2 linked regions of the Macaca mulatta genome follow. The protein of the gene in region 1 purifies or fractionates together with the protein of each later gene. This does not show direct contact. Links are inferred from orthologs where the notes say so. Each region holds a gene or a part of one and is shown in the gene's direction. Other genes may lie near its edges.

Region 1 (3,651 bases):
AAATGGTTACATATCATCGTTACTGTATGATGCATTCTAATGCTAACCTGAGCTCAGTTCTAGTTTGGTTTTGTTGCTTAAAGACTGAGTTGGAAAATCCCATTACTTGGATAGTAATGGTCCCCCTTTTTTTTTTTAAGGCACTCAGTAAGTGGTGGCTGAACCTTTTATGGTAGGATCTGTAATTTTAATATGTTCTGATTTAGGGTTTGAGGAGAAAGAAGTCTCTAATTTTTTTTTTCCGTATTTGAATCAGCATATTGAGAAAAGAGTGTAGCAAAGAGGAAGACTCATTTTCCTAAACCTAGCTATCTATTTGTTTAAAAAAATTTTTAATTTGGTAGATTTTAAAAGACACTGGTGTGATTATCTTTTTAAAAGGAAGCTTAAAATAAGTGTCATTAGTGATTAATTTTTTTTTTTTAATTAGGTCTCTGTTGATCTTGGATGATGTTTGGGACTCTTGGGTGTTGAAAGCTTTTGACAATCAGTGTCAGATTCTTCTTACAACCAGAGACAAGAGTGTTACAGATTCAGTAATGGGTAAGATTATTCATTAACTTTTTAGTACCTTTATATTTAATTCAATTACATTTAAATATGTGGCATACCAAATTACTTACTTTGTCTTGTGATTTTTGTTTGCAGGTCCTAAATATGTAGTCCCTGTGGAGAGTTCCTTAGGAAAAGAAAAAGGACTTGAAATTTTATCCCTTTTTGTTAATATGAAGAAAGCAGATTTGCCAGAACAAGCTCATAGTATTATAAAAGAATGTAAAGGTATGGTTATTTATTTTGTTTATGAGGAGGTTATAGGGAGTTATATAATTTCCCTTTTGTAAATTAAGCTAACAAATGTGATAACTTAGCACATGAACATCCAAGAACTTTTCTGGGAGATTTAGTATTTTAGGTTCTTCTCTGATATCTTAAATGGATACATGATGTTATGGTATTTATTTATTCATTAAAATAATATTTACTATCTACCCACAGTGTGTTAGAGACCACATTAGCGAGAGAAGTGAGACACAGATGTGACCTCTGCTGTCAGAGTTAAAAATATAGTGAGAATCAGATTTAAAACTTGTATTTGCTTGGGATTTTATAAAAATAGTATTCTAATTTGGTAAGTTAAAACTGGTGTCTTAATTTGCATTTTTCGTTAGTGAAGTTAAACTTTTTACTTGTTTATTGAATATGTTTTAAGAAATTATCCTTGACTTTAAGAAATTATCCTTGACTCACTTTTCTTTTTTGATATAAGCATTTTTAACTTATTTCTAAATACTCTAAAAATTGAAACTATTAGCTCTTTGTCATATTTTTACAAGTATTATTTCCCAGTAAAACAGTTTTTTAATGTAAAATTTATATATAGGATCTCGCTATGTTGCCCAGGCTGGTCTTGAACTACTTGCCTCAAATGATCCTCCTACCTTAGCCTCCCAAAGCGCTGGGACTACAGGCATGAGTCACCATGTCCAGCCTGTTTCCCAGTTTTTTGTGTACTTTTTATTTGTTGTATTCTTTTGACATATAGAAGCTTAAAATTTTATACAGTCAAATCTATCAACTCTTAAAATTATTTCTTTCATTGTTGCTATGCTTGGAAATACCTTCTTTTTCTTCTTTTTCTTTTTTTTTCTCTTTTGAGACGGAATCTCACTCTGTCGTCCAGGCTGGAGTGCAGTGGCGTGATCTTGGCTCACTGCAACTTCTGCCTCCCAGGTTCAAGCAGTTCTTCTGCCTCAGCCTCTCGAGTATCTAGAACTACAGGCATGTGCCACCATGCCCGGCTAATTTTTATATTTTCAGTAGAGACGAGGTTTTGCCATGTTGGTCAGGCTGGTCTCAAACTCCTGACCTCAGGTGATTGCCTGCCTCGGCCTCCCAAAGTGCTGGGATTATAGGCATGAGCTACCATACCTGGCCACCTTATTTTTCATTTTGCCATCAAATAGAGACACAGTTTTGTTTGTTTATTTATTTATTTTTTGAGACTGAGTCTCACTCTGTCGCCCAGACTTCGGTGCAGTGGCGTGATCTCTGCTCACTGCAACCTCTGCTGCCCAGGTTCAAGTGATCCTCCTGCCTCAGCCTCCTAATAGCTGGGATTACAGGCATGTGCCACTGCACCCAGCTAATTTTTGTAGTTTTAGTAGAGACGGGGTTTCACCATCGTGGCCAGGGTAGTCTTGAACTTCTGACCTCGTGATCCACCTGCCTCGGCCACCCAAAGTGCTGGGATTACAGGCCTGAGCCACCACACCTGGCCAGTTTTGTTTATTTTTGAAGAAATCTTACACTTAGGAAAAATGCTTGATTTGTAGTTATTACAAAGGGTGATGCATGTCCATTTTGAAAATGTGTGAAACTATAAAGAAAAAAATAGAAATTATCCATAATCTGATAATTATTAGCATCATGAGAGTATTGCCTCCAGTCTTTTAGAACAAAGATTTTAAAAATTGAGATTATGTATACATAGTTTTGGATCTTGCCCTTATTTTTGAAGAGCCAGGGTCTTGCTCTGTCACCCAGGCTGGAGTGCAGTGACAAGATCACAGCTCACCGCAGGCTTGAATGTCTCGTCTTAAGCAATCCTCCTGCCCCTGCCTCCTGAATAGCTGGGACTGCAGATACTCACCACCTACCTGGGTAATTTTTAATTTTTTTTGTAGGGATAGGGTCTCACTATGTTGCCCAGGCAGGTCTCAAACTTCTGCCCTCAAGCAATCCTCCCACCTCAGTCTCCTGAAGTGCTAAAACTAAGACGCATGTCACCACACCCAGCTGGACCTTACCCTTTTTTTTTTTTCTTTTGAGACGGAGTCTCGCTCTATTGTCCAGGCTGGAGCACAGTGGCGTGATCTTGGCTCACTGCAAGCTCCGCCTCCCGGGTTCACGCCATTCTCCTGCCTCAGCCTCCTGAGTAGCTGGGACTACAGGTGCCCACCACCATGCCCCGCTAATTTTTTTGTATTTTTAGTAGAGGCGAGGTTTCACCACGTTAGCCAGGCTAGTCTTGATCCCCTGACTTTGTGATCTGCCCGCCTTGGCCTCCCGAAGTGCTGGGATTACAGGTGTGAGCCACTGCGCCTGGCTGACCTTACCCTTTTTATATATCTTGAGCATTTTCCCATGTTGTTAAATATTTTTTTGAAAAAAATTTACCAGTGGCATAATATTGATATATCTTAATTTATTCAACCACTTCTCTGTTATTGGACATTGTTTACATTATTTAAGATTTTTTTCACCGTTCTAAGTATGCTGTGATGAATATCCTTAAATTTAATCATTCTTTTTTTTTTTTTTTATTTAAGACAGGCTCTCACACTGTTTCCCAGGCTGGGATGCAGTGGTGCCATCATGGCTCACTGTAGCCTCAGCCTCCTGGACTGAAGCAATCCTCCTACCTCAGCCTCCTAAGTAGCTGGTACTATAGGCACGTACCACCACACCTGGCTGATATTTCTAATTTTTATTTTTAGTAGAGACAAGGTCTCATTATGTTGCTCAGGCTGGCATATATATATATATATATATATATATATATATATATATATATATATATATATATGTATATGTATTTTTTTTTTTGTAACGACATCTTAGCCAGATTTGATCTATGTTATTTTGACTTAA
Region 2 (3,751 bases), on another chromosome or scaffold:
TTTTTGTATTTTTAGTAGACACGGGGTTTCGTCATGTTGGTCAGGCGGGTCTCGAACCCCTGACCTCAGTGATACACCCGCCTCGGCCTCCCAAAGTGCTGGGATTACAGGCGTGAACCACCTCGCCCGGCCAATAAACACCTGACTTAATACGGCAGTGCCAGACAGAATACAAGGAGAGAGAAGAAAAAACAAACAAACAAACAAAAAAAACAAGAAAGATGGAAAAATTAATCAGAACTTGGGACCAGAATTTGAGGGGTAAAGGAGTCAAGAAAACCAGTGACAGAACTAGGCATGTCAGGAAGGGGATCTAGTTTTAAAGGATGGCTATGATAACTAAAAGCTGGGTATTAACGCCTTTATTTCCAATATGATCTTAACTGCATTAAGTTTACTTGAACATGACCTTTACCTAGGTAAGAAGGGATGCAAATCCTCTAGATTTCCAATAATTCTCTAATCATCTAAAAATGTTTCTTCCTAGATGTTGCCAGCACACATTCTGTGTTCTTTCGGCACACGAACGCGAGGGGGAGGAGGGCGTTAGCAGAAAAGACGCTGACAGGTAAGGGGTCAGAGGGATAATCCTGTTCTGCCGCAAATGCAGCACGTTCCTCAGTCTTGGGGCGTCCATCAAGCGGAGAGCTGGAAGATGACTGAAAGTAACGGAGTAGAGGTGGAACTAGAACAAGGTCACGAGCTGCTGCCCAACTCGTGTAACTCCTGGTTCCAGGCTGTCCCTCTAGGATGCTGCTGGCGCCAGCCAAGGGAGCAGGACAGAGTCTGGGTAAAGGTCGCCAGCTGACAAGATGGTAGCTAGGAGACCTCTAGGTGCGCCAAAACTAAGGCGTCTTTTCCTGGACGGGCAGAACGCCCTGCTCAAAGATCATTACATCACCACGCCCAAGAACTGATACTTTAGCAGGGCAACGCGCCAACAAGGCGACTCCGCCCCACCCTCCCCGTTCCTCCAGCACACGCAAGCGCACAGAGGCCCGCGGGTGACATCACCCCTCCCGACACCACCTCGTTGTCGTACGACCAAAGGCCTGTCGTAACGGCCGGGCAAGAAAGGCCTCGAGAGGAAGGGCACGCACGCCGCACACCCTAACATGCTCGCCTGCATGCGCGCGCAGGTCCTTTGCGCAGGCATTGGGACTAGAGCCAATGAGGTGCGGCGACGTTACTGCGTAGCCGCCAGCTCGGCCGCACGTCAGGGCGCGGGAGCGCGGAGCGAGTTTGGTTGCACTTACACCGGTACTTAAGCGCGAACCGGCGTGTCCTTGGACTTAGAGAGTGGGGACGTCCTGCTTTGGAGCGGGAATATTCGTTGCGCCAGCGACTAAAAACAGGTGAGAGCGGGTCGCGGAAGCCGCACCTGGTTAGAGGCAGAGCTGTGGGCGGCGCGCACTCGCGAGCGACCGAGACCCAGGCGTGGAGCCTCCGAGTGGAGCCCGCGCTGCGTGGGAGGGCCGGGAGTGAGGACCCGGGACTGTGGTCAGACCGAACCGGGCGAGTAACCGCTTGAGGTGCGGCGGCCCTAACTAGGGACAGGTATGGTCTCAGTCAGGGACTAGAGGAGGCTTAGATACAGATCCGAGGAAGACGCGGCCCCTTTCGTAGTGGTTGCTGAGGGGCTATGGAAATGATAGGCAAGACTTCCCACCCGGAAAGCCGAAGCTTAGCACTTCACGTTCTCCTTCAGAGGGCAAAAGCTGTTGCTCTTCTAATAAGGGGCCATTTCTTTACGTGGGCACGTTTCTTCCGTCAGTCGTTCTGACATCCTAGAAACAGTTTCATCAGTCACCTTGAAACCGACCTGGATGGGTGACCTCATGTTCGCCCCGGGGGATCACAGGTAGGAGAGTGGGGATGTCCTGCGGGGACCGTGCAGCCTGCCCCTGCGTTCCCATTTACAAGTTCGAGTGTCAGGCTACTTCTGTGACCTGGGCAGGTAGAAACAGCCAGTACCGCTTTTTAAATATTTGTGTGCTTTGCAATATCCTCAGGAAGAGGTAGCTTTACATGGTAGTAAGATTAAATGACTAGGCCTTCTTAAAAATTGAAATTGTGGTGATTTTGGCTTAATGTGATCGCCCTTCAGCGTCAGATCTGTGGCTTAGTGACCATGATTTTCTCTTCTGAAACTGGAGTTTGAATTAGGTTCCCTCTTTGCTTGCTTGGGCTTTAACGTTCCTTCACGTGTACACACGAAAATAGGTTTTTGAGGAGGTGCTCCTAAAAAATGTTTTTGGTATTAAAGAGTATTTGGTATAAAGAGTATTAAAGCAATACAAGATTAATTCTGGTATTTAATGACATAAATTACCAATGGATTGGTAATTAAGTGGCTAGAGTGGTCATTCATTTACACTGTATTTGTTACCTGAGGAAAAATTACTAAGTTGGGGCTTTCGTTTTTAGAATTAAATATGGGTGATGTTGAGAAAGGCAAGAAGATTTTTATTATGAAGTGTTCCCAGTGCCACACCGTTGAAAAGGGAGGCAAGCACAAGACTGGGCCAAATCTCCATGGTCTCTTCGGGCGGAAGACAGGTCAGGCCCCTGGATACTCTTACACAGCCGCCAATAAGAACAAAGGTAAGAGCCACTTGTTAAATAAAACAGTACAAAACGCACGAATATCACCTGTGACACACTATGAGGAGTGTGAAATACTTAACCGATGCATTCTTTCTTGTTTAGGCATCACCTGGGGAGAGGATACACTGATGGAGTATTTGGAGAATCCCAAGAAGTACATCCCTGGAACAAAAATGATCTTTGTCGGCATTAAGAAGAAGGAAGAAAGGGCAGACTTGATAGCTTATCTCAAAAAAGCTACTAATGAGTAATAATTGGCCACTGCCTTATTTATTACAAAACAAATGTCTCATGACTTTTTTATGTGTACCATACTTTAATAGATCTCATACACCAGAATTCAGATCATGAATGACTGACAGAATATTTTGTTGGGCAGTCCTGATTTAAAACTAAGACTGGCTTGTGGTTAAATGAATATGTTCCGTTTTTGAATTTTAATAGTAATTCCAATTCAGTAAATGCTATCACTGTTTACCCCTTCTAAAGATATGATTAGACTTTGTTAGTAATGTTCAACTTTTCGCAAAGATGGTGAGTGCCATCTTAAAACTTACTGGAGATTGGTTTTATATTTAGATTTATATAGCTGGTTATGTGAATATATTTAAATACTGGGGAAATTCCTTCACTGTCTCAGAACTAAGCAAGATTCACCTGTGTTTTGTGTTCATTTGCCTCTTAAAGGCAAGGGTTGAAGATAAATAAGGTAGCAATGTCTAGAGTTTTGGCCTTAACGATGCCAATCTAATTATAATTCCCTGTATTTAAAATGGTTCCTTTTACTTATTGAAGAGCATTTTAGTATGGTTTATGTGTAATATTAAAGATTATTCAACACTTCTCACATCTTACAAATCTATAAGGTCACATGCTTTTAAAATAGTAGCAAGTTAAACTTCACTCTTGAATTCTTTACAATCTAAGTCAAACTAAGTTATAATTTAGGATTGTCTTTAAACAGCCATTCAGAAACATAAAACTGTAGAACTGTGTATTTGTGATTGGGAATGGTGCTTTTGCCAACTTAAAAGGATTAAAGTAGCGGAGATATACACAAATTTTAAAATGTGTGATCGCAAGACTAAAGATAATTAAAAAGAAAACCACAGATCATGATTTTTTGACTGTGCTTGATTTCATG

Evidence for each region. Proteins that work in one complex are often made in the same cells at the same time.
Region 2: the proteins of APAF1 (region 1) and CYCS purify together in Homo sapiens (affinity purification with western blotting; 3 studies listed by BioGRID and IntAct, with this or other methods). This does not show direct contact. The link is inferred for Macaca mulatta from reciprocal best matches to the Homo sapiens genes APAF1 and CYCS.

The regions. Positions count from the first base shown.
Region 1 is NC_133416.1:105,957,968-105,961,618, forward strand, and holds part of APAF1 (apoptotic protease-activating factor 1), read left to right. Parts: intron 1-430; coding exon 431-543; intron 544-648; coding exon 649-780; intron 781-3,651. UniProt on the Homo sapiens protein: Oligomeric Apaf-1 mediates the cytochrome c-dependent autocatalytic activation of pro-caspase-9 (Apaf-3), leading to the activation of caspase-3 and apoptosis. This activation requires ATP. Isoform 6 is less effective in inducing apoptosis.
Region 2 is NC_133408.1:103,268,065-103,271,815, forward strand, and holds CYCS (cytochrome c), read left to right. Parts: upstream 1-1,294; 5' UTR 1,295-1,557; intron 1,558-2,427; 5' UTR 2,428-2,435; coding exon 2,436-2,604; intron 2,605-2,709; coding exon 2,710-2,858; 3' UTR 2,859-3,726; downstream 3,727-3,751. UniProt on the Homo sapiens protein: Electron carrier protein. The oxidized form of the cytochrome c heme group can accept an electron from the heme group of the cytochrome c1 subunit of cytochrome reductase.